Linked DNA regions of Pelodiscus sinensis. The protein of the gene in region 1 interacts with the protein of each later gene in a biochemical or structural test. Links are inferred from orthologs where the notes say so. Each region holds a gene or a part of one and is shown in the gene's direction. Other genes may lie near its edges.

Region 1 (7,633 bases):
GGGGCCACGAGGTGGAAGAGTGCCCCACCCAGCAGAGGTGTGGGGGTTACAGTGTCGTCCACTTTCCATTGCTGACCCAGCCCAGAGGACAACGTGCAGATCGGTACGTTAGTTTGCCACTTGTTAGTGTGACGGGGCAACCTCTGCATGTGTCCTACCTTGTCCGAGGGAGCTGCACTCCAGAGAAAGGGCACTCTGTCTCGGGCCATTTCTGGGGTCTCCGGCCATTTCTGGTCCCTTCTTGGAAATACGATGGAAAACCACTTTTCTTGTGCTAATTCGCGTGCAGAAATGACATACATCCGTCATGAGGCCTGGGCAGAGCCACCATGTCTGAGGGACGAGCCAAACTCTTCTGAGGTTTGGGATGTGCTTTGGATGTGGCTTCCGGCTAGGACTGGAGCCACCTGCTAAATTTGGCTCTGGACTTGAATATTTCTGCTATTCAGTGCTAAGGGTCTGGATCGAGCCCTCTTTGAACTGTATTTTTTTAAGCACCAGCTAGTTCTCATCAACAGCTCGATTCCTCGAAACCCATCAGTAGCTTGAAGTAGCTTCCTCCTTGCTTCTACCATTGAAGCTCTTCCATAGTTGAGAGACGGGTTGGGGAACCAGCCTTAGAAATGTGTGAACAAGATGAGCCCTGTTCTGCCATCTCCCTGCCCCCCGCCACCCTCGCCCAACAGAGCGATGACAGAGCCTCTGTCAACGGACTTGCCAATAGCTCCCTGTCTCGTGTGAAGGTCACTGCACAGAGATGTCCTGGAGAGAGCCCAACGGGAAGATTCCCCCCTTGCGCACTGGCACGATGTAATAGGTCAGGGGAACAATGAAGAACAGGATCAGCAATGAAGCGCGCGATTGTTCTGGGGAGGATTCACGCCCACGGCAAATTCCGTCGCAGGGCAATCCTCGAAGGCAGAGAAAATGCCCCTTATTATATCAGCTTGCACCCTGCGGGAGCAGATCTGTCAAGGTCAGCAACGCACGATGGGGGGAACTTCTAAAGCCCCGAAACCTGCCTGCTGCAGCCACCCAGGCGGTGAGCGAATGCTGATATCCTTCCGCTTGGCCCTGGAGAACCGGAGTTTATCTTTAGAGCTCAGGATTTCTGGCTCCCGGCCCTGAGCCAAATGAGAACCATGGAGATTTGGGGTTTTTTTTTTAAAAAACAAAACTCTATTGTTTTTTGCACAAAAAATGGCTCTCGATTCAGGTTAGGGATAAGTTTGAGGTGAAAGCGCAGCTCAGTTCTGATAGAATCCAGCCAAGTCAGCCAGGCCTGTTGATAGCGGGTGGGAGGAAGTAAAAGGGGCAGCTGTCCTGGGCCCGGTGATTCAAAAGCGCTCAGAGCGCCCCTCGCTGCTACTTCAATAGCAATGGCGGCCAGAGCCCAGGAGAGTAACCTCAAGCCCCGCCCCTTCAATCTGAGGCTCCGCCCCTTAAAGGAGCATAGAGCTGCCTTTCTCCCCTCCCCCCCGCCCGCTTTGCCCTGAGGCCTGGCATTTCTGTCAGCTTCCCTGCAATCAGAAAACAAGCTACAGAGGGTGTGGAGAACCCAGCGCTAGCTGGCGGCACTTGGCCATGGCGTGACGTAGTGGGGATTGTGTTTGCTCTGTTTGCTTTGTGAGGCTGGCTGTGATTCCTGCTGCCCTGCCCTGTTCCGTTGGGACCCTGGGTGTGTGCCTCAGTTTCCCTGGGCATTGCATGGGCACCCGGCTGGGGATGGGAATGTTGGATGCTGCTTTCGCTGAGGGGAGGCTGTTCCATGTCCACAACTATAGCTCAGGCTGTCTTGTAACCTGAGCTGAGGTGGGAAGCGCAACCAGGTGACACCTTGCCAGGGACTGCGGGGCTGGGACCAGTTGCTGGGTGTGAGAGTTACTCTCAGCTGGCGGAGGATGCAGGGAGGTGGCCCAGGGCGCCGGCTCTGCCCCCTCCTTCCCCCCACCCCAAGTTGGATTGTACTGGCTGCTCCCGGTTCCTGTGTCAACAACAAGTCTGTGCTACGCGGTGGCCCTGTCAATGAAGAAACCTTCTCTTCTACTTGCCGGCTGACAGTCCGTCTGACTGTGGATGTGGGGACAGGGCCTGGTGACTCCCCCGCACGCCGTGACTGACGGTACCTAGATCTGAGCGGTTTGCAGTGTCATTGTGGCTGTGCCGGTCCTCAAACATTAGAGACACAAAGCGGGGGAGGTGAATTGTTCCCTCTAAGCTGAGAATGTGGGAAAGTGCCCAGGAGAAATTCGAATGCCGCAGAGCGGATTAGCAGAGCACCCACAGCCGGCAGCGTGTGTGTCTCCTGGTGGTGCCCCTCTGCACATGGCTCGGTGCACAGAACAACATTTATTCTGCACACGGATGGAAAAAATGAGGGAGCCTGGGTGTGGTGATTTCTGTTATTGAACCAACTTCTCTCGGTGAGAGGGACGCACTGGCGAGCGGCAGGGGGGTTTAGGGACAGGCTCACGATACAGGGTTATGGAGACGGAAATGCCACGGGTCAGGTGGCCCAGAAGGCAGGTGTGTGGGGAAAAGCAGCAGAACCCGGGTTTGAAGGCAGCAGGGTTCCAAGCTGGGTTTCTATTTCTGGCACCTAGATGCGCTAGGGACGCGAGCCCCTAGAGAAGCAGGTACGGCCCAGCGGGGAACCGCAGTGAGATGGGGGCTGGTTTAAAGGGTGCTCTCCTGCTTGACGCTCCTCTAGGAGCACTGCTTCGGTACTACAGCCCTGGAATTGGCGCAGGGTGGGGGGGAGCCTATGGCCTGGGGGCCAGATCCAGCCCCCAGCTTGCCTGGATCTGGCCCCCCAGGCTTGGAGCTCCCCCCAGCTTTGGGGAGCTGGTTCTGGCACTCCAGCACCCTACTTCCCACCCAGCCCTCCCACCCTGAGTCTGCTCCTGCCACCTCCCACCCACCCAGACCTACCCACCCCCAACACACTCCTGGACCCTCCCTCCCGCCCAGCCCCCACACCACAAGCCTGCTTCCTGGCAGCCCCTCCCCCCCACTGAACCCCTCAGTTTTTGCCCCCGCCGGAGCCTGGGGCCCACAAAGTCCCCTAGCCTGCCCCCGCCAGGTTCTGAGGTGTGATGGGGAATGTGGGGAGGGTCTTTCTGCTTCTCACTCGGGGGCCACGTCAGTGAGGGGTTTTGGTTGGGGGGGGTGTCTCATTTGTCTGATTTTTCTTTGAGTCGGCGGCCCCCAACCAAAAACACGGTCGCCAGTGTCACGACAGGCTGCGAAAACCCACCGGGCCCCCTCTGCAACCCTGCCTGGCTGCCCCATGGCTAGCCCTCGGGGAGCTGGGCTGGGGCTGGAAAAAGACCCAGGGCCAGGCTGCCTCCGGGGGCTGCTGGGCACAACGGGGCTGCCTGGCTTCTGAGAGCGGGATCCCTCCAGCCGGCCGGCCAGGAGCGGTCTCGCGGCCTGCCACTAGGGAGCAGGTCTGCATCGCAGTTCTGTCTCTCTCTCCCCGCTGGGAGGCCATTGCCAATTCTTCCTCCCCGTGAAAGCCTCCTTCCCGTCTTGTGATGATTCGACTAGTGGCCTTCTAAGGAGAGGCTGCCTGCCTGGGACCCTTCAGGGAGGCTTGAGAGAGGGCAGCAGGCCTGAGAGGGAGGGAGGCAGAGGGAACCGGACACAGCAGCGGTGGGGGAGAGCTGCCTGGCTCTTAGGGAGAGACAAGCAACCGGAGCCATTTGGCCAAGAGCGGCAGGAGGACCCGGGTTGACTTAGGGATGTTAAATATCGGTTCATTGAATAGTCCATTAACCTCGTGAATTCTTATCGGTTACTCGACTATTCGATAGTCCCCAGGGGCGGGGCCGGCAGCCAGTGCGCTCTGGCCCCACTCCTGAGGAGCCCCCTGCCATGCCGCGGGGTACCAGGCGGGAGCTGGTCCATGAGGGGAGCCAGTTTAAAAACCAGCTGCCTGTTGCCCCGCACTGCTGCCTCGGATACAGCGCAGGGAGGTAGCAGCCCCTGTCCGGGAGGAGGGGGCAGTCTGAGCTCCTGGATCCAGCATGAGCCAGAACTGAGGCGGGTTGCCTGCCCGCCTGGCTGCTAATTCACTTTAAATGCAGAGCTGCAGCGAGGGTTGGTCCCGGACCCAGCGTGAGCCAGGACTGAGCTGGCCAGCCTGCTAAAAAACGTACTGGCAAGTGGGGTGGGGGGACGCGTGTAGTCTACAGCATTAACCGATAAGCATTAATCAGTTAATTGATTACACTATTCGGTCCCTAGGTTGGATGGGAGCTGAAACGGGCCTGGTGGTGAGAGCTGCTCGCGGCCGGGAATCCCGGCTGAGCAGACGCCTTGGGCGCTGGCGCCGGGGAGAAAGTGGAGGATCCGCGTTGGTGAGGGGAAGCTGAGCCTGGCAGTGAGAGGACGGCTTGGGAGAGCGGACCCCAGGAGCAGGGACGGGACTCCCCCACTACACACATTGTTCCAGCCCCCCCCCCCCCCCCCCCCGTGGGGAAATCTCTGCAGTGCAGAGCTGGGAGCAGCAGGGGGCAGACTTCCACTGCTATGGCCGCCCGGGCAGGGATGCAGCTGGAGTGGCGCCTGCAGGTTCTTTCAGGAGCTCTGCCCTCGGAGGACACTCCCTGGAACCGGATACACCCCTGCCCAGCACCTGGCTTGGTCTTTCTGCCTGGGTGAAGCCGGGCCGCACTGCCCCCCCTGGGAATTCGCCTTCTCCCTCCCTGCCGAGCAGCAAGAGCGATTTACGCTCAGTCCTAGGGAAGGAAAGGGTTAGCTGGTAAGCATTGCCTTCCCAACATACCTAGTGAACCAGGGCCCGGAGCAGCCCCTCAGCCGGGCCCACCATGCCTAGCTGTGGGGGGCGAGGGCTGCTCCAGCGCACACCCCCTCCCCCATCCATGGGGGGACAGGCAGTTAAGCCTGTACCCAGGTACCAGTTGACATGGGGTTTTGCGCCCCTACTCACTAGCGCGCAGGGGGATGAAGGAGACACTGGCGCAGCAGGGCACTGGGCATCGCACCCTCCACTCCGGCTGCTAGGAACAGGAGCAAACCTTGATTCAGTGTCACGCCCCATTCAGTTCCAATGCCGTCTAAGGCCCAAAGCCTGGGCCTGGCCAAGGCCAGCGCGGCCGCCTGTATTTCCACAAGGGGCAAGGCCATTCCCCACCCGCCACCCTACGATTTTACGGGACTTTCTCCCAAACTCCTGCTTCCCACGCTGCGGCCCGGCTGCAGCCAGGACTTTGCTCCGTGGCCACGGTGGGGGTCCCCTGGCCCTGCAGGGACGGCGGACGCACAAGGCCGGTCCTGGCACGGGAGGCTGGCGGCTGCCAGAGCCAACCCCCCTCTCAGAAATGGCTGAGGACTCGGGATGGGTTGTCCGGCTTCGGGTGACACACTTGGGGCCCGTCTTTGTCTCTGGGGTGGGCGCCTCCCCGGCCCCTATCGACACCTCTTCAGGCTTGTTTCGGCCCTGGAGAGAGAGGGGGCGACCCTAGGGGGGCACCCTAAAGCTCAGATTCCCTGATTCGGCCTCGCCAGCTGCGTTGGCTGCCAAGCCCGCGCCGCCCCACTTCGGGGGCACCCCCCATGCGGCCGCTGCTGTGGCAGGGAGCCATGGACCAGGCAGCCGTGGGGCGCAGCGGTCTGCGGCAGGCAGGGCAAAGGGCAGTTCCCCTGGGACCCCCATTTGAGGGGGGCCCCCAAACCTAGGGCGCCCAGAGGCTCCCAGCGCGGGGCTGCCCAGACGCGCAGCGCCGAGCACAGGCACGACCCCGGCTGCAGGGTACCCGGGCTGGCGGGGCCGGGCTGGCAGGTGGCGGCCCCACCCCCGGGGCGGGCCGAGCCGAGCCGAGCCGGGGTGGGGCTCCGCCGAGCGCTGCTCCCTGCCCGCCCGCAGCCGCCGCGCTCTGCCCGGGACGCACCTGCCCGGCGGCGATGGAGGCTCCGGGCCGCCGCTGACCTGGCTCGCCGCGCAGGTAGGAGGGGGGCGCCCGGCCGGGCAGGGGGCGCCGGGGCTGGGGCGGGGCCGCCTCCCTGCACGGCCCGGCCGGAGCAGCGAACACGGGGCCCCGCGTCCTGAGCTGCGCCGAGGGGTCCCCGCTTCCCCCGGCCCGGGGAGTGGTGCCGCCGGGGGCTCCCCGCCATGCGCTGGGCCCCCGGGCTGCGGCTGCTGCGGGCCCTCGGCGGGGTGGCAGGGGCCGTGCGGTGGGCTAGGGCCTGGGGGCCCCGCTGCCTCTGCATGGGGCAGGGTGGGGGGAGCCAGGGCTGGCCTTACCAGGAGGCGAACTGGGGGGGGCACCAGGACCCAGGGAAGTGAGACCTTCCAAAGTTTTGCCCAAGCGAGGGGGCGGGGGGGGGTCATTGGAGCGCCCCTCCTCAGGTGCCAAAATGTTGTGGGCCGGCCCTGGGGGAAGGGGCAGTTTGCTGGGGCACCCCCATTTGAGCGGGCCCCCAAACCAAGACCCCCCTCCCCCCCACTCCCTGGCACCAGGCAGGGTCCCCCAGGCCAAACCGGAGAGATGCTGTTATGGGCGCCCTCGCTGTACGTCCAAGCTACGTCCAAAACGCTTGGGCCTCTAGTGAAACAGGAAAGTGGGACTTCCCCCTCCCCCCACTTCCATTTGCACACATTGTTGTGTTGTTTGGGGTTTTGTGCGACCTAAGAGCGGGGCTGGGAGCACTTGGAAACGCGTCTGTTCCTCCCACTGTGGGCGACTTCAGTGCGGAGCAGGTGTATCCCGGGGAGACTTACGCCGGCGACGCCCTGTACCCTGGAAGGGCCTGGCCCTTGTGAAAAGTGTCCCGGGTGCCACTGCCCACGGATAGCACACTGTGCTGGGCCTTGGGAGCCCTGGGTTCGGTTCCTGGTTTTGCCTCTGCTTTGCAGGGTGACCTTTGGCAGGAGGGGACTTACCGGTTTCTAAACCAGAGAAAACAGAACTGAGGCTGCAAAGAGAGACGTGGGTGAAAAGTGCTCACTGAGAGCGAGGGGTGTTGCCTGCTCTTATCACTTTCCCTTTGGGTTCACACACTGTTTGCCCTGTCGCTCCGGAGTCACTCCTGGATGCTGAGAGTGTGCAATTGGGTAGACATTTGGAGCAGCGGATGGCTATTCTGCAGTGCTCTCAGGCTAGTTATGGTGTGCCGCGGTGTCACTTCCAGTGTGCCTGGTAAGCTGAGTGGGTGGCCACCCAGAAGAGATTCAAATGCTACCTAGCTGATTAGCAGAGTGCCCACAGCCGACAGCATGTGGTTCTATTAGTGGTGCACATTTGCGCATGTCTTGGTGCACATAAAATTTATTCTGCTCATGGGTGGAAAATTTAGAGGGAACACTGGTCGCTTTCTATCACCGCCTTGTCCCTGCTTTTGGGATATACTGGAAGTCTCTGCATCCTAAGCATACCTTTGTGTAAAACTTGAAAGCCCCTGCTTCCGTGCTGGTAGCCACAAAACTGGGAGAGGCTGGAGAATTACCAGAGAAACCTGCTAAAATCTTTGGCAAAGCCCTTTGGGTGTGTTTATAGCCGTGTTTGTGTAGAGCATCCACTCAGGTTTTTGTAGAACTCTGCTTGATATTGGCTTTCGCCATCGCCCGTTCTCAGAGTGGCAGGTTTCCTGAGCTCTGGGAACAGCAGCG
Region 2 (7,893 bases), on another chromosome or scaffold:
ATAATGGTGATTAACCATACACATGCCATTTCCTCTTTTTAAGTACAGGCAGTCCCCGAGTTACGTGGATCCGACTTATGTAAGCCCCCCAGCAGACCAGGGAGATGCTGAGCAAAGCCGCGGAGCACGCGGGCAGCGGGAAAGCCCAGACACGCCGCGGCTGTCTTTGCTCCCCGTCTCCCTGGTCTGCTGTCTCCAGCAGACCAGGGAGACACGGAGCAAAGCCGCGGAGGACCCGGGCGGCGGGACCGTGGTACGTCTCGGTCTGCCACCCGCATCTTGGTCTGCGGGGGGGGGGGGGGCGCAACTAGTGCCCCCCCCCCTCCCAGCAGACCAGGCTTTTCTCCGGACTCCTGTGGTAGAGCAGCTGGGGCACTGCCAGTTGGTCCTGCAGCGCTGCTCTGGGCGCTACTGGACCAACCCAGCAGCACCCCAGCTGCTCTGCCCCAGGCGTCTCCAAGTCAGCAGCTGCTGAAACTGATCAGCGGCTGATTCCACGAAGCCCAGGGCACAGCAACTCTGCCTCGGGCTTGCTGTAGTCAGCCGCTGGTCAGTTTCAGCAGCGGCTGAATCTGGATGCCAGTTCCGACTTACATACAGATTCAACTTAAGAACAAACCTATAGTCCCTATCTTGTACGTAACCCGGGGACTGACTGTAATGCATTTTGTTTTAAAAACACACAGCTTTTGAACAATACACATCTCTTAATAAGATGCCCATCTAAGCATAACTAAAGTGCTCACGTTTAAAAGATGCATGACTCAATACTGAAAAACAGTTCTGACAGAAATAACTAGACCATGTTATTTTGCAGGTGACCAAATGTAAATTCATTGTAAATATATAGCATGGCAGACTATAGTATCATCAGTCTCCCTCTTTCCTATATAACTAGTTTGTTTCACTATTAAATGAAGTTTAAAAATGGATAGAATACTTTAAAAAAAGGCATTTTAAAGCATAAGTGAGAATGTTTTACAGTGAATGTTCCATGCCACTGGTTAGTAATTTATGCTTCAGAATAGGTGAACTGTAAAAATGCTATTGATCTGACTTTCTCTTTGTATGGAAAAAACTGCTATATATAGAAAGTATGCTTTAGAGCCCTGTCACCATACAAGCGTAGAGACGATATACTCACTTAAAAAAAAAAAACTGGTGAGGGACTGTAAGGTCCATCCTGTAGCTGAAAGCTGCAGTTTACAGCTTAGTCTGTCCTGCAGAAAATGAATGCATTGGATGTTTAGGGAAATATGAATAGTGAGTCTATTTCAAATGTCTGGCAGTAGGTTGTTCACATTAGATATAACTGACAGATTCCTAGGATACTGTGGTTGCCTTTGGGATAGTATAATATTTCATTGGAAAGTATTGTGCAAACTGCTAAAACCCCAGAACAGTGATTCATGATGGTGCTACTTATTGCCTTTGATATCTACCACTAAAATGTATGCTTTGCAAAGTCAATGCATGGAAGAGACTGAAATGTTTTATTAACTTTAATTTCCTTTTGTAAAATGGACTGTACCCAATGTGAAGGATCACAGCACTTATGAGCCAGACAAATAAGATACTTCTGTCCAGAGTTTCATGTACCTTTAATTATATATTACTGTGAAACCATTTTTGTGTCTATTTCCTTTCAGGTTTTGTTGCATTAAGCTTATGGTTAAATATACTCTTTACCAATGCTTGTATGCTGGTGCAAACAGTAACATAGTAGGAACACAAATAAAATAGAGCTGTTTCTGATATTACAGATGCAGAATGTAAAAGGAACACAGTCAGCCAAGAATGATTGATACAGTTGTAATAAAGGTGGAAAATGCCACCTTGCCAGTGATAGGCTATTTATATGTATATGAGAATTTAAGTGACTCTTTCATAAGACATTTTACATGTAATTAGACAAATACTACAGAACTTTGTACTCAGACATAAGTTACTGACAGCCTTAAGAATACAAGCAGTGAACAACAACGTAAAAAGCTGGCATAGTTGTTTAGATGAGTTTTTGGCAACAGTCCTATTTCTTTTAAAACCACTGCAGTTGAAGTGGTTACTATTTTAGTAGACATGCACCATGCCATAGAGGAAGGTCCAGAAGAGAACATATGTGAAGAGGCCACCGATAAGCCCCCCAGTGAAAAGTGGCCTTCGGGATTTAAAGTACTTATTCCACCGCCGTCCAGCTTTCAATACCAAAAGCATGGAGAGAAGGACAGAAGCCAAGAAGTAGAAGATAAAGCCATGTAAACCAGTCAGACCAAGAATTCCTGCTGTTGCTCCTGACAAGGCAGAAACTGACGTCCTGCAATAATCCAGAATGGCTGCATTCCCTCGGACTGCTCCTTCGCTGATGAACTGAGGTCCTTCTCGCTTGGCCACCATTGTAGCCATTGCTCCGGTTTGGAGTCAAGGATCTTTTTCTCCCAACAAGACTAGGTCAAAGGAGAGAAAAAACTACTGTACTAAGTCAGTTTTATTTCATTTTACTTAGGATGATGGGATGGAACCATTCTTTTCCCTCCTGTCAATAACTAACAACAGGAACTGAAATAATGAAAAATGCACTGCTACTTGGAAATTGATGACCTTAGCACAAATCACCATCAGTAAACTGATAGTTCCTATAATCTTTTCAACATATGGTAATGTCAGGCCTTACATCAATGCATTCAGCAGAATATTTTTCATGCCCTTTGGGGGAAAAAAAACACTGTATTCCCAGTTATCTCTTATTAAAAATAAGTGGTGGTCTTTGAATAACTACAATAAATTAAGGAACTAGTCACATATCTACTAGCTGTTATAACTGCTGGTATTTAAAGAGTTACTAAAACATTCAAATAAATAATGTAGTTTACTCTTCAATTCTATGCAAATATAAAATTAACTTGATTTAATCAGGTAAGATTGTCTCTACTTAGAGCCCTTTACTGTCATTTGCACCACATATATAAACAAAACTGAACCAATCTCACTACTGTATGGCTACAGCACATAAATTTGTTACAAGAAGAAAAATTTAGGCCAGCTTTATTAAGTCTGAAAAAATAGAATGTATCCTTCCAGTATAAGATGTGCAAGCCCAATTTATAATGAGGTTACTTAGCTCTATATGGCATTTTCCTCATCCATGTAGTTCTAATAGCAAACTTTTTCACATCCTCCATTTTGTATCATTAATAAGAGTTTGAGTAAAATTTCTTATTTACATTTACATTTCTATCATTCTGTTCAACAATGCTGCCTCTAAGGATGTAAAATCCTGTTTAATCAGTTAACCCCACATTTCTCAAACTGTGGGTCCTGACCCCCCTGGGGGGTTGAAAGCAACTTAAGGGGGGAGGGTCGCAGTATCACAAAGTTTGAGAACCTGAGTTAATGGGTTAAACATTATGTCTAACTGGTTAATGGCTTAAACAGGGGTGGAGGCTGCTCTGGGCCTGCCCCTATTGCAATGCTCCAGCCAGGCAGAGCCTTCCCAAATGAGGACCATTCCCCTGGGCTGGAGTGCCCCTCTAAATGGTTACATGTGGTTAACCATTCACATTTCTAGCCACTTCTACTTATCTACCTAAATTCTGAGGTTGTAATTAAATCCAAGGAGGAAGTATCTAAACACTACAGGACCCAATTAGCTTCATGTAATTTGCACACTGCATTAAAACACTGGCAATTCTATAGCCTTTTTCAAACAATGATTTCAGAGTGCTTTAAAGAACCCTTTCTCCACTCAAAATAACTAGATACCGGGCTTGTCAGCATTCAGTGCTCTAGAAGAGGTATATCCTTTGCTAGTATAGGAAACCACCATGGATCCTACACATGCTTATACCAGCATGGAATAGATTTCTTCTAGAGCACTGAATGCTTACCGGCCACTTCACTTTGAATGGTCCCTTGAAATAGGTATAATTCTAAACACTCTCTTCCACAGCGTAATACATGAATGTTAGGATAAAACATGACAGCTCTTCAACAGCAACACTGTGTAAGAGCTCAGGACTGAAAGCAAAATGCGTTGTGCTTAACTGAAGCTTCTGAGAAATCTGGAGGGCCTCACAATGTAATTACCTGAGGTTGATTGCAATCAGAACAAAAGGGATTTGGTCAAGCACTTTACTCCCCAAATGTAGCTTTTCTGCAAAAGAAAAATCGGTTAAACTGTAATCACGTTTTACAAAGTACCAATAAAAGATTTAAATCCATATGTCAGTGTGGTCTGTCATTATCTTGCAGGTGGGTCTCGGAGTTGGGGCTCACTACCCCCCTGCAGTGGGGAACTGTTACTCCACCCCCACAAGGCTGGCACACCAGTGCTGGCTGGCGAGGGAAGGACGCAGCTCTGTGCGCTGCTGCTCCCCCTTTCCCTGGCTGGGGGCTTTCCCCAGTGCTCCCATTGGCCGAATCACAGTCAATGGGAGCAGCAGGGGCGGGTGCCTGAGAGTGGCAGGAGGCACCGAACCAGGCAAGCAGCCCCCCCCCGATCTCCTGCACCCCCCCCACTCTGCTCCCCCCCCGCCCCCACGTGGTGCCCACGGCTGGCTGGCGGTCCGTGGGAAGGCCGCGTTGGGCGGGGGGAGCCCTCCCCACGGGGATAACGTCTGAGACCCGTCGGGCGGGGCGGGATTTGGAAGTTTCTCTCCCCCCCCCCGGCAGCGCCCTAGGGGCGGGCGGCCTGGGGGGCAGGCTCCGGCTGGGGCCCGAGAAGCGCCAGGCCCCACAGCGGGGAGGGGGGGGGGGGTCACTAACCTCCCGCCCTGAGGTAACCGCCGCCGCTCACCCGTCGCTACCGGCCGCCATCTTGGAACCGAGGCTGCCGGGAAACGCCGCGCGCGCCGCTCCCTCCACCCCCGCCCAGCCCAGGTGTCGCTGCGGCTGCGCATGCGCCGCCCGCTCCCACGGCCTGAGGCGCCGCCCCCGATTAGCGGGGCCGCCGGGCGCTTTTGTTGGCGAGTGGGGCGCGAGCTGCCGGCGGGGCCATGTCGTACATCCCGGGGCAGCCGGTCACCGCCGTGGTGGTGAGTGGGGGAGGGGCGGCCGGTCGGTCCGCGCTGGGCTCGGCTCGCGGGGCTGAGGGCGGGGCTCGGCTCTCTCCTCAGGGCGCCCGGGGGGGGGGGGGGGCGTGTTCCGCCGCCGGTACCAGCGGGAGGGGGCAAGGGGGCGGGGGACTGTCCCCCCCCCCCCGCGCTCTGCTGCCAGCAAAGCAGCCCCCCCCCCGCGGGTCGGCCTGTCTCCGTCAGTCCGTCCAGCGCGACCGTCGGGGGGGTCCTGCCCGCGGGCCCCCCTCTGCCCGGGGCCAAGCCCCTTCTCTCCGCGGGGAAACCCGCTCGTGTCCGCCCCCGATAAATGCCTCTTCTTGGAGCCCCCTCCCCCGCAGAGCCCCCCCAGCGCCCCCGCCCTCCCCGACCCCTCTAGTTCTGCGTCTTGTCACTGCAACCCCCCCCCCCCGCCTTGATGCACCTGCCCCGCGCACCCTGCTACGGGGGTAAAACAGAATTTGAAACATCTGCCCCGAGGCAAACGAATCAGAGGGGGGGGGGGGGTGAAAATTGCACCTTTTCGTTGTGCGGGTCTGAAGGGATGGCATGACTTAGCTCCCCCTTTGTGTGTTTAAATACGGTATGTTTTCGGCTATTCCATTTTTCTTACCACTTTTGTACAGAACTATTGTACGGTCGCTAACCCTTCTGGACACTCAGGAAAACTGGAGTATGATGTGCTCTGACTTGCCCAGGGTCAGTGGTAGAATAGGGAACAGAAGCTCCCTGTCCTGTCTCTCCGGTCATGAGCTAATGGATTATGCTGTGTCCACGAGTTGCTTATGGTTACCTTTCGGATGAGTATAGGATTGTAGGCATGCATGCTACTTTTCAGTAGCTATATTGAAGGGATGAGAAAACGGAAAAGTGAGAAACAACTCCCCCGCCCTCCTCCCTTTTTTTTGCAAAAGGCCTAAAGTCATATAAGAACAAAGAACTAGAGGCTATATGGTGACTACAAAATAGTCTGGGAAAATGTACCCTGTAAGTGTAGAGGTGAAAACTTGCCGCATATCCATGTGGTGAGCACTATCTGTCCAGCCAAGTGATTGTCAAATGAAGTCAGACTTCTGACATCTCCTGCCATGCCAGGCAGCCTGAGCCCAAACTGGGATCATGGTATGTGTTGTGCTTTGATTAAGACGCATAATCAACTTGCCACTTATCAGAGGACTTCTCAGATGTCCGACCTCTCTAACAGTATTTTTCTTTGAAAACCATTGTGATTTTGATGGAAAGTGCTCACTGTTTAGCTTGCCAGATGTTGCCTTCTGTTAAGGTGCTTTCTGGGATAGAAGATAATGGCTCAGAATTACAATGAGCCACTTTTCCTGTGGGTAAAACCCCTGCACATCATGCTGTTCAAGGAACATAGGTTTTCTTGATTGGAATCTCAGCTATAGTTAATAAAAACCAAGAATGTCCTTGTTTGGCTTACATTGTGGTGCCTTAAAATACCCATCCCAGACACATACTCAATAAAAATGCCATGTGACTGCATGCTGTTCCTTTGAGCCTTGTTCTCAACAACCTGCCTCTGAGCCAATTCCAGTGTGGAAGATGACATAAAACGATATCAAAGCTGCTGCCATCCGCTTGTTTGGCTGCCAGCCTGGAGTCTGTTCCTTGTCTGACTTTTTGTATGCTCGGCTGCAAATTTGTAGTTTGTCTGTGGAAGTTGTCAGTATTTCCAATGAGCTCATGTGGAGTCTTACTCTTCAGTTAAAATGAGACTGTTTACTTGGCTAAGTTACAGACACCTCCCTCTTGTATGACAAATGAGCTAACTTGAGCAAGGAAGCATTCTGATGAATGGAAAAAGGCAAACCTGAGGGAAGAAAATTTAGAGACTTGAAATATCTTTCATGTAGCCTCTAATTACACCCCTACCCCCATGCTTTCTTTCCAGGAATTACTGTCGGAAGGGAAAGCTAGTTACCATATCCAATATGTACCTGGAGGAGATTTTAGAATATCTCGCATGGCAGAATATGCCCCTGAGCAGGGGATATAACAGTTTCTAACAGTTTCTAATCTCAGTACAGTATAAAGTGTCAATCCGATAGCATGGGGCATTATTGACCGTTATGTCCTCCTCTATACAGGGCTACATGGTGGTCTTTAAAAGGTTGGACTAGCATCTTCTTAAGCTATTCTAGACTTGTGAAGTAGATTTAAAATGCTTCGTGCTTAACTAGAGATATTCCTTGTGAAAAATTAGACACTAAGCAAACTTTTGAGAATTCAGTCCTTGAGTTTGATTTTATTATTGATTTCTATTATTACAGGTATTAAAAGGCATAGTAACAATAGTTGGTCACACTTGAGTCTATGAAATTAAAATGTGCTAACATGTGAACTACTTTCCTTGGTGAAGATTGCAGAGCAACTCACTTCAAATTAAAAATCACACTTAAACCAGGCTTCCTGGTGACATATATGATAAATCTAATAATTTTGGTGAAAGTAGGTCACGCAGCAGAGTGCACAAATATTGGTTTGGTAGAGCAGTTTGTAGCCGGGGCGGGGTGGGAGGAGGAGAGAATCTGGGCTTAATTCAAGAGGAAAGACTGAAGAGGCCCTTGCTGGACAAGGTTCTGGGTAAGACTTCCTTACTAAGAGTTCCTCTGCTGTTACTCATACAACGTTTTAAAATCCCTCCCTCCCTTCATTTCCATTGTGGTTGTAGAGATTAAACTTCTTTAGATGCCTAAGTGGCTAGTCATTTAGGGATATGATTGGAGATGCTTATTTCTGTTGTGGCTTGCTAACAAGGACAAAAGATGCTTCTCAGTTACTGCTGAAGGGCAGGGCATCCTAATAATTGATTCAGTTTTAAAGT
Region 3 (6,844 bases), on another chromosome or scaffold:
GGCAGTAGAGAAGGAACTGAAGGGACTGTTGCCGCACATGCGTGGCAGCGACACCATGCGTGCCGCCTGTCCCGTTTGTGCGGCTCACCAGAAGGCACTGCTACTGTAAATCTCCAAGTAGGCGCGCAGTGGCACCTCAAGATAAAGGTGGAGCACCCACCGGGATACTCCTCGAAGAAGTCAGCACTATACAATCTCAATAAACAAATAGTAAAAATCCATAGAAAACCATTGTCAAATGGGTGATATTTTTAGTGGTACTAACCTCAATGTTATTTACTATTTTTGTTAGTGATCATCACATAAATTTAAAATCACTGTTGATTAAATTTACAGATGACGCAAAGCGTGATGAAGTGGTCATGCCAAGCAATTTGGATTGCGTGGGAATCTGCTTTTATTGAAACAAAATGTGTTTTAATACACGCAAAAGTAAGATCATATGTCTGGATGCAATGAATGTTGACCATTTCTATAAAATAGTGGACTGTGTCATGTTAAGTAACTTAGTATCTATGGAAGATAGCCACAAAGCATCCTTAAGAACTGCGTGCAAGCCGTGGCATAGTGTATAGGCCTGGGATGAGACGGTGTGTCAGAAATAGGGTCATAGCACTGCAGAGATTCTTGCCCTATGAGGTGGCTTAACTTAGAGAAGTCCTCAGAGGTATCTAAATTACAGTATCTTCAGCCCCAGAAACAACCCAGAACTGGTGGAAGGGGGCTGCAAAGGTGTGGCTTAGTTAAAGCCACCTCATTCTCTCTCCCTCTGACTGAATTCTGCACTGCACCTCTAAAGGGCACAGCATAGAATTCCACTCGAACCATGCTAATAAAATTTCACTCTTCCTTTCTTGAAGATTTTCTCTTCATGTTCTAGTTACTCCTAGAAACACTGGCATCACTTTACCCTATCAGTCTATTCCTACAGAAGAAATAGAAATGATGGGAACTTAGCAATACTTTCTCAGGTGCAATGTGGTTTGAATAATTGCGTCCTAGTTTGTTGATCCATCATGTTGGCTTTAGCATTGATTTCCCCCCCCCAGCACTATTCATCAGCATCTGTTCTTCCTTTTCCTGCATGCATGTTCCTCCTGGTATTGTAGATTCATAGATTTCAAGGCCAGAAGGGACCAATGTGATCATCTAATCTGACTTCCTATATAACAGAGGTCACAAAGCATCTCCAAAAATTCCTAGAGCAGATGGTTCAGAAAAATATCCAATCTTGATTTAAAAATAGCCAGTGATGGAAAACCCAAGATGTTCTAATAGTGAATTACCATCATTGTTAAAAAGATGACATCTTATTTGCAGTCTGAATGTATCTAGCTTTAATTTAGGAATTGATTGTGTTAAATCTTTGCCTTCTGGATTGAAGAGCTCTGTAGTAAGGAGTGATCCACCCAGTGGGGCAAACTCCACCCATTGATATAGAGTCTACACTCAGAGACAGAGATTCTATTCTGCTTCACGAGTGAAGGGGTGGGGTGCCCCTGGGGTTGTGTATGGACTATAGTTTAATCACTTCCTCACTTGTATCCGGGACAAGGTGGGTTATGTCGATTGCTTGTAAGCCACCTACAGTTCTTGTTACTGCTGTAACCCACTCTTCCGCTGCGGATTGCTTATGTTTATTTTGTACAACTTGTTTGGCTTTCGCACAATAAAACTCTTCTATTACATTTCTAGTCCCCATGTATTAGTAAAAACTCAGAGGGGTGAACACCTTAGAATGGAAGTTGTTTGTGACTCTGAATAACACATGGCACTTTCAAAAGCTTAAAACTGAACATTGACTTTTAATACAACTTTGAAAGTTTGGTATGCAGAAGAAAAATGCTGGTTTTAAGCACCTTATTATATAAACTCTTTCATCAGCCTGTTCATTTACAAGCTGACCTCCTGAGATTGATAAGTAAAAATGGCAAAATACTATGACCCTTTCACAAGCCAATCCTGTATTTCAGGGATTGGCAAACTTTGGTTCCTGGCCCATCAGGATAAGCTGCTGGCATGCTGGGATGTTTTATTTACCTGAAGCATCTGCTGGCAGGGAGCTCATCGGTTAACTGTCTGGAAATGGAGATGGATCATGTGAGGATTACCTGTTGTGTTCCTTCCCTCTGGGGTATTGGCCACTGTGAGCAGATACTGGGCTAGCTGGATCTTTGGTCTGACCCAGTATGGTTGTTCTTATGTTTTTAATTGTTTACACTATCACATCATGAATACCAAAAACAGTGCTGTAAAGCTGTATGAAATTTGACCCATTCATTTTACAAAATGCTGTATCTTACAAGTCAATTACAAAATATGGCACTAGTGTCAGTCTGCTACAGTGTAATTTTGATCTCTTCATGCATGTTGACCACTAGACGTCCTAAGTCTCGAGCCAATCTGAAAATATAATGTGCAGAACTGATGGAATCTATAAAAAAATTTAAATAGCCTATTATTGCCACAGGCATGCTAATCTACAGGGCTGCTTCAGAATTAACAAAGCATGATTATAATTTGACTGTGATTAAGCAGGTGACATTCCCATGTAAAATCTTTAACAAAATTATTTTCTAAGATAGTCATTTATAGTATTTAAAATGAACAATATTGAAATAACACAAAGAGTAGGGATCACCGAATGAAATTACAATAGGAAGTAGGTTTAAAATAAACAAAAGGAAGTACTTCACAAAACACAGCACAGTCAACCTGTGGAGCTCCTTGCCAGAGGATGTCGTGAGGTACAAAACTATAACATGGTTGAAAAAAAAGCTAAGTACATTGATGAAGGTTAGGTCCATTAATGGCTATTAGCCAGCATAGGTAGGAATGGTGTCCCTAGTCACTGTTTGTCAGAAATTGAGAATGGGTATCAGGGGATGGATCACTTGATTACCTGTTGTATTCATTCCCTCTGGAGCATCTGGTATTGGCCACTGTCAGAAGACATTATACTGTGCTAGATGGACCTTTGGACTGACCCAGTGTGGCTGTTGTTGTGATTGCCTAGGAAGTAGCATTACAGAAAACACTCCCAAGCAACTGGTGATCTTCTACCCTGCCTGAAGTGATTCCAGGTAGCCTTTCTTGCACAAGACCGTCCACACAGTGTGGATCTTTTCTCTTGTGCAAAAGCACACGCAGGCTGTGTCTACATTGGCAAGATGCAGTCACTTTTGCACAAAAACTTGCCGCCTGTCTACACTGGCTGTGAGTTCTTCCGCAAGAACACTAACGTTCTAATGTAAGAAATCAGCGCTTCTTGCGCAAGAACTGTGACGCTCCCGCTCAGGAATAAGCCCTCTTGCACAAGTGTTCTTGCGCAAGAGGCCAGTGTAGACAGGCATGAATTGCTTGCACAAGAAAGCCCGCTGGCTAAAATGGCCATTGGAGCTTTCTTGCGCAAGCGAGCATCTACACTGGCATGGATGCTTTTGGGCAAAAGCACATCTCTTGCACAAAGGCACATGCCAGTGTAGACGCTCTCCTGTGCAAATACTTTAACGCAAAAACTCTTGCGCTAAAGGTATTTGCGCAAAGTCTTGCCAATGTAGATGTAGGCGCGGTGCGGCCGTTCTCTTGCGCAACAAGCCTGCAGGGCAGAGTAGTGAGCCAGGTCTGGGTGCCAGGGTGGGGCAGCTGCCCCAGCAGGCCTGCCCCCCATAGCTACTGCCACGCCCCCTGGCGAGAGGCGTGTCCATTGGTTCGGGGCCTCCCACGTGCTCCTGGCCCTGCCGGCTCCCCAGGCCACGGCGCCTTTAAGCGGCCGAGTGCTCACCTTGCCTGCCCCACTAGGTACCAGCCCCGAGCCGAGCTGACTCCTGATTGGGCCGCCGCTGGGCTCGGTCACGTGGGGGCTGCTCTCTCCACAGCCGCTGGGCCGCCATTTTGGCTGGAAAGTTTGGAATTTCCAGCGGAGGCGGCGGGAGGGAGCGCGCGAGCAGCCCCCGCCGCGCGGCAGTGTCGGGCGCGCGAGCCCCGGGCCCCCGGCCGGCTCCCAGGGCGGAGCTGCCTGGCGACGCCCGCCCGAGCTCCGAGGGGGCTGCCCCGCCCCGTCCCGGCCCCGCTCCGGACCCCGGGGTCCGGGTCCGTCCTGCCCTCGAGCGCGGGGCAAGGCCCCTCCGAGCCCGGCAGGAGCGAGCAGCGCGCCCCCCGCCGCTCCGCTCCGGCTGCCGGCCCGTGCCCCGCGCGAAGTTCGGGAGGGCGGCGACAGGGCGCGTCCCGCCCGAGTCCAGCGGCGCGCGGCGCACCATGCCCGTCCGGAAGCAAGGTGAGAGCCGCGCCGCGCGGACCGAAGCGGCGGTTAAACCGCCTCGGTGGGAGAAACCGTCACCCTGCGCGCGCGGCGCGGCCCGGCTTGTGCCGAGAGCGGGGTCAGCCGCGGGGACTCGGCGCCTCCCCCAGTGTCTGCGGAGTTCGCAGCGGGCTGCTTGTTGCTGAGCTCGCTCGGCGGACGAGTCCGCTCGGGGGCGGGTGGCTCTGGAGCTGCAGCGTCGTGTGTCCGTGGGCGCGTAAAACCGCCTTGGAGACACCTGCCTCTTGGGGAAGAACCTGCAGCAGGAGCGGGGAGTCAGGAACTCGTGATGAATTGGGTAGAGTTCTTGAAAGTGGCGTATCGAGCGTGTGATATCAAGAACTACTGTACTGACCACTATTGGGCAGCTGCTATCTCTCCCCTCATGGTGATGTTTAATTCTAACTTTTTGTTTTGTTTTTATTTGCAGATACCCAGCGGGCTCTGTATCTCCTGGAGGAATACCGCTCTAAATTGAGCCAAAATGAGGACAGACAGCTGAGAAACTCCATAGAGCGTGTCATTAATATCTTCCAGAGCAACCTTTTCCAGGCATTGATAGGTAGATGTCTACATTTTTTTTTAAAAAAAAATTTTTTTGTGCAAAATCATCTAAAATTTTTTTTAAAGTAAAAACACTCAGCTTTTCACTTGAGGGTATTAACAAGTGAGGTCTCCAAATACTTGAAAGTCTGAGGGGTAGTCGTGTTAGTTTGTAATTTTTAAAAACAATGAGTAGTCCTGTGGCACCTTAGAGTGCTAATGAGGCTAACTGAGTCAGCTGGAAGTGTCACATACTTCAGTTCTTCTGTTTGCACTTGGCTAGGAAGATGATGTCTGTTTGGATCCCTGTGAATTGTCTTATGCAGTTGATGGATTTCCACTTCAGACAGCTGAATGTAGTGCCTTGCATGTTTAAAATCCACGGAGGGGGAGCCGTGTTAGTCTGCAACTTGAAATACGAGTAGTCATGTGGCACTTTAGAGGCTAACAAAAATATATATATATATGGTAATGAGCTTTAGTGGGCAAAACCCACTTCTTCAGATGAGATTGAGTGGAAGAAAAATGGGGGGGGGGGGATTCAGAATAAGATAGGAGAAGGAGGGGAAAAAAAATTACCTGTCGACTGGAGTCTCAGTGCTATTTGAGTGGGCTGAAAGTGCCCATACTTCTGTTCATCTGTTTGTACTTGGATAGGAAGATATTGTATGGCATCAGCTACTTAAAAATTTATCACCTCAGCATCTTTTTGGAAGCTTTGGGTTTGGGGTGATTATATAGATATACAAAAAGACTTACCAGGAGTTGCGTGGGTCTTTCAGGATAAGGATGTCAATGGGTAACCGATTACTCGCTAAGCATCACGCTTACTGGGACCCTTTGTCTCCCCTCCCACCCCATCCTCTGGCTCTGTGGCCAAGGCCTGGGGGGAGGGGGAGAAGAGTTTAGGGCAGTGGTCACCAACCAGTAGCTCAGGATCTACCAGTAGATCTTGGAGCCTGTAGCGGGGTCAAGCTCTGTCCAGTCCAGCCCAGCTGACCCCCGCCTTCAGTCTCTCTCTCTCTCTCTCTCCCTCTGTGTCCCTGCTGCTGCATGGCGGCCGCTTTACAGTCTCAGCTGGCCCGTTGGCTTGTCCGTTCCCCGCTCTGTTCCTCGGGCTGTCAACAATTGGGCTCGGCCGGCCCATCTGCCGGGGGCTGCGTTGCTCCTGGGCCCCCCCAGAGGCATTCCTTTGCCGCTGGCCCACTCCTCTCTGGTGTCTGCCGTCCCGGGCGCTCGCCGCCCCTCGAGCTCTCCACCTGTGGGAGGTGAGAGCACAGCCAGACCCTGCTCTCCTCCCCCATGCTCCTCCCAGCCCTCCTCCTTTTGGGCGTGTGGCCCGGCGTCCCGCCCCCGCCCCATTGGCGTGCTGGCGTCCCTGGGCTCTAGAGTCTGCCGCTTGCGGCCTGCCCCCTGCTGCGCATGTGCTGCTGGTGCCCCGCTCGCAGAGGCGGCGGCGGCGCCTGTAGGGTTGGGAGCTGCCGGACAGCGGACATAAGTGCGGGGAGCGGTTTCCCCGCCACAGCGCCTCTGACAGGTGATCCTGACTGGTTTGGTCAGGAAGCTATCGCGTGCCAGCAGTTGAACTGCCCTGCCCCTCCACCCTCTGTCATACTGCTCCTGACCTCTGCCTGGGAGCTGCCCCCTGGGAGCCTCCTGCTTGCTGTGCAAGGTGTTGGGTAAAGGGGGGTGCTGATGTCAGAGTGTCCTCCTTCCCCCCCCCCCCGTACCCCATCTCCACACAGAGAGAAGGGAATGGAGGGAGCTTGGCAGTGCAAATCGCTGTAACTCTCACACACTGTGTGTGTGTCTGTCATTTTCACAAACACACTGTCCTTCACTCTCCTCTCCCGACCTAACACATGTGGGAGGTTGTTACTTCTTTTACTGCTTGCAAAGTGGGTTAGTTTTGGATTTTGACTGGTCTGTGCATTTCATCATTTTCATTTCTCATACATTTACATTTAATTCTTTGAGTGGTGAGTTCTAAAGTACCTAATC

The links. The genes of interacting proteins can lie anywhere in the genome.
Region 2: the proteins of ARHGEF16 (region 1) and TAX1BP3 form a complex in vitro, tested with the Homo sapiens proteins (2 studies listed by BioGRID and IntAct, with this or other methods). The link is inferred for Pelodiscus sinensis from reciprocal best matches to the Homo sapiens genes ARHGEF16 and TAX1BP3.
Region 3: the proteins of ARHGEF16 (region 1) and DLG1 interact in a test that uses a peptide from one of them, tested with the Homo sapiens proteins (2 studies listed by IntAct, with this or other methods). The link is inferred for Pelodiscus sinensis from reciprocal best matches to the Homo sapiens genes ARHGEF16 and DLG1.

Annotation. Positions count from the first base shown.
Region 1 is NC_134733.1:21,397,431-21,405,063, forward strand, and holds the start of ARHGEF16 (rho guanine nucleotide exchange factor 16), read left to right. Parts: upstream 1-4,626; 5' UTR 4,627-4,765; intron 4,766-5,838; exon of another isoform or gene 5,839-5,969; intron 5,970-7,633. UniProt on the Homo sapiens protein: Guanyl-nucleotide exchange factor of the RHOG GTPase stimulating the exchange of RHOG-associated GDP for GTP. May play a role in chemotactic cell migration by mediating the activation of RAC1 by EPHA2.
Region 2 is NC_134731.1:3,641,676-3,649,568, forward strand, and holds the start of TAX1BP3 (tax1-binding protein 3), read left to right. Parts: upstream 1-4,890; 5' UTR 4,891-4,991; coding exon 4,992-5,030; intron 5,031-7,893. Other genes in the region: EMC6 (ER membrane protein complex subunit 6), read right to left, coding at 2,071-2,403. UniProt on the Homo sapiens protein: May regulate a number of protein-protein interactions by competing for PDZ domain binding sites. Binds CTNNB1 and may thereby act as an inhibitor of the Wnt signaling pathway. Competes with LIN7A for KCNJ4 binding, and thereby promotes KCNJ4 internalization.
Region 3 is NC_134720.1:55,448,060-55,454,903, forward strand, and holds the start of DLG1 (disks large homolog 1), read left to right. Parts: upstream 1-3,841; 5' UTR 3,842-4,257; coding exon 4,258-4,276; intron 4,277-4,730; coding exon 4,731-4,862; intron 4,863-6,844. UniProt on the Homo sapiens protein: Essential multidomain scaffolding protein required for normal development. Recruits channels, receptors and signaling molecules to discrete plasma membrane domains in polarized cells.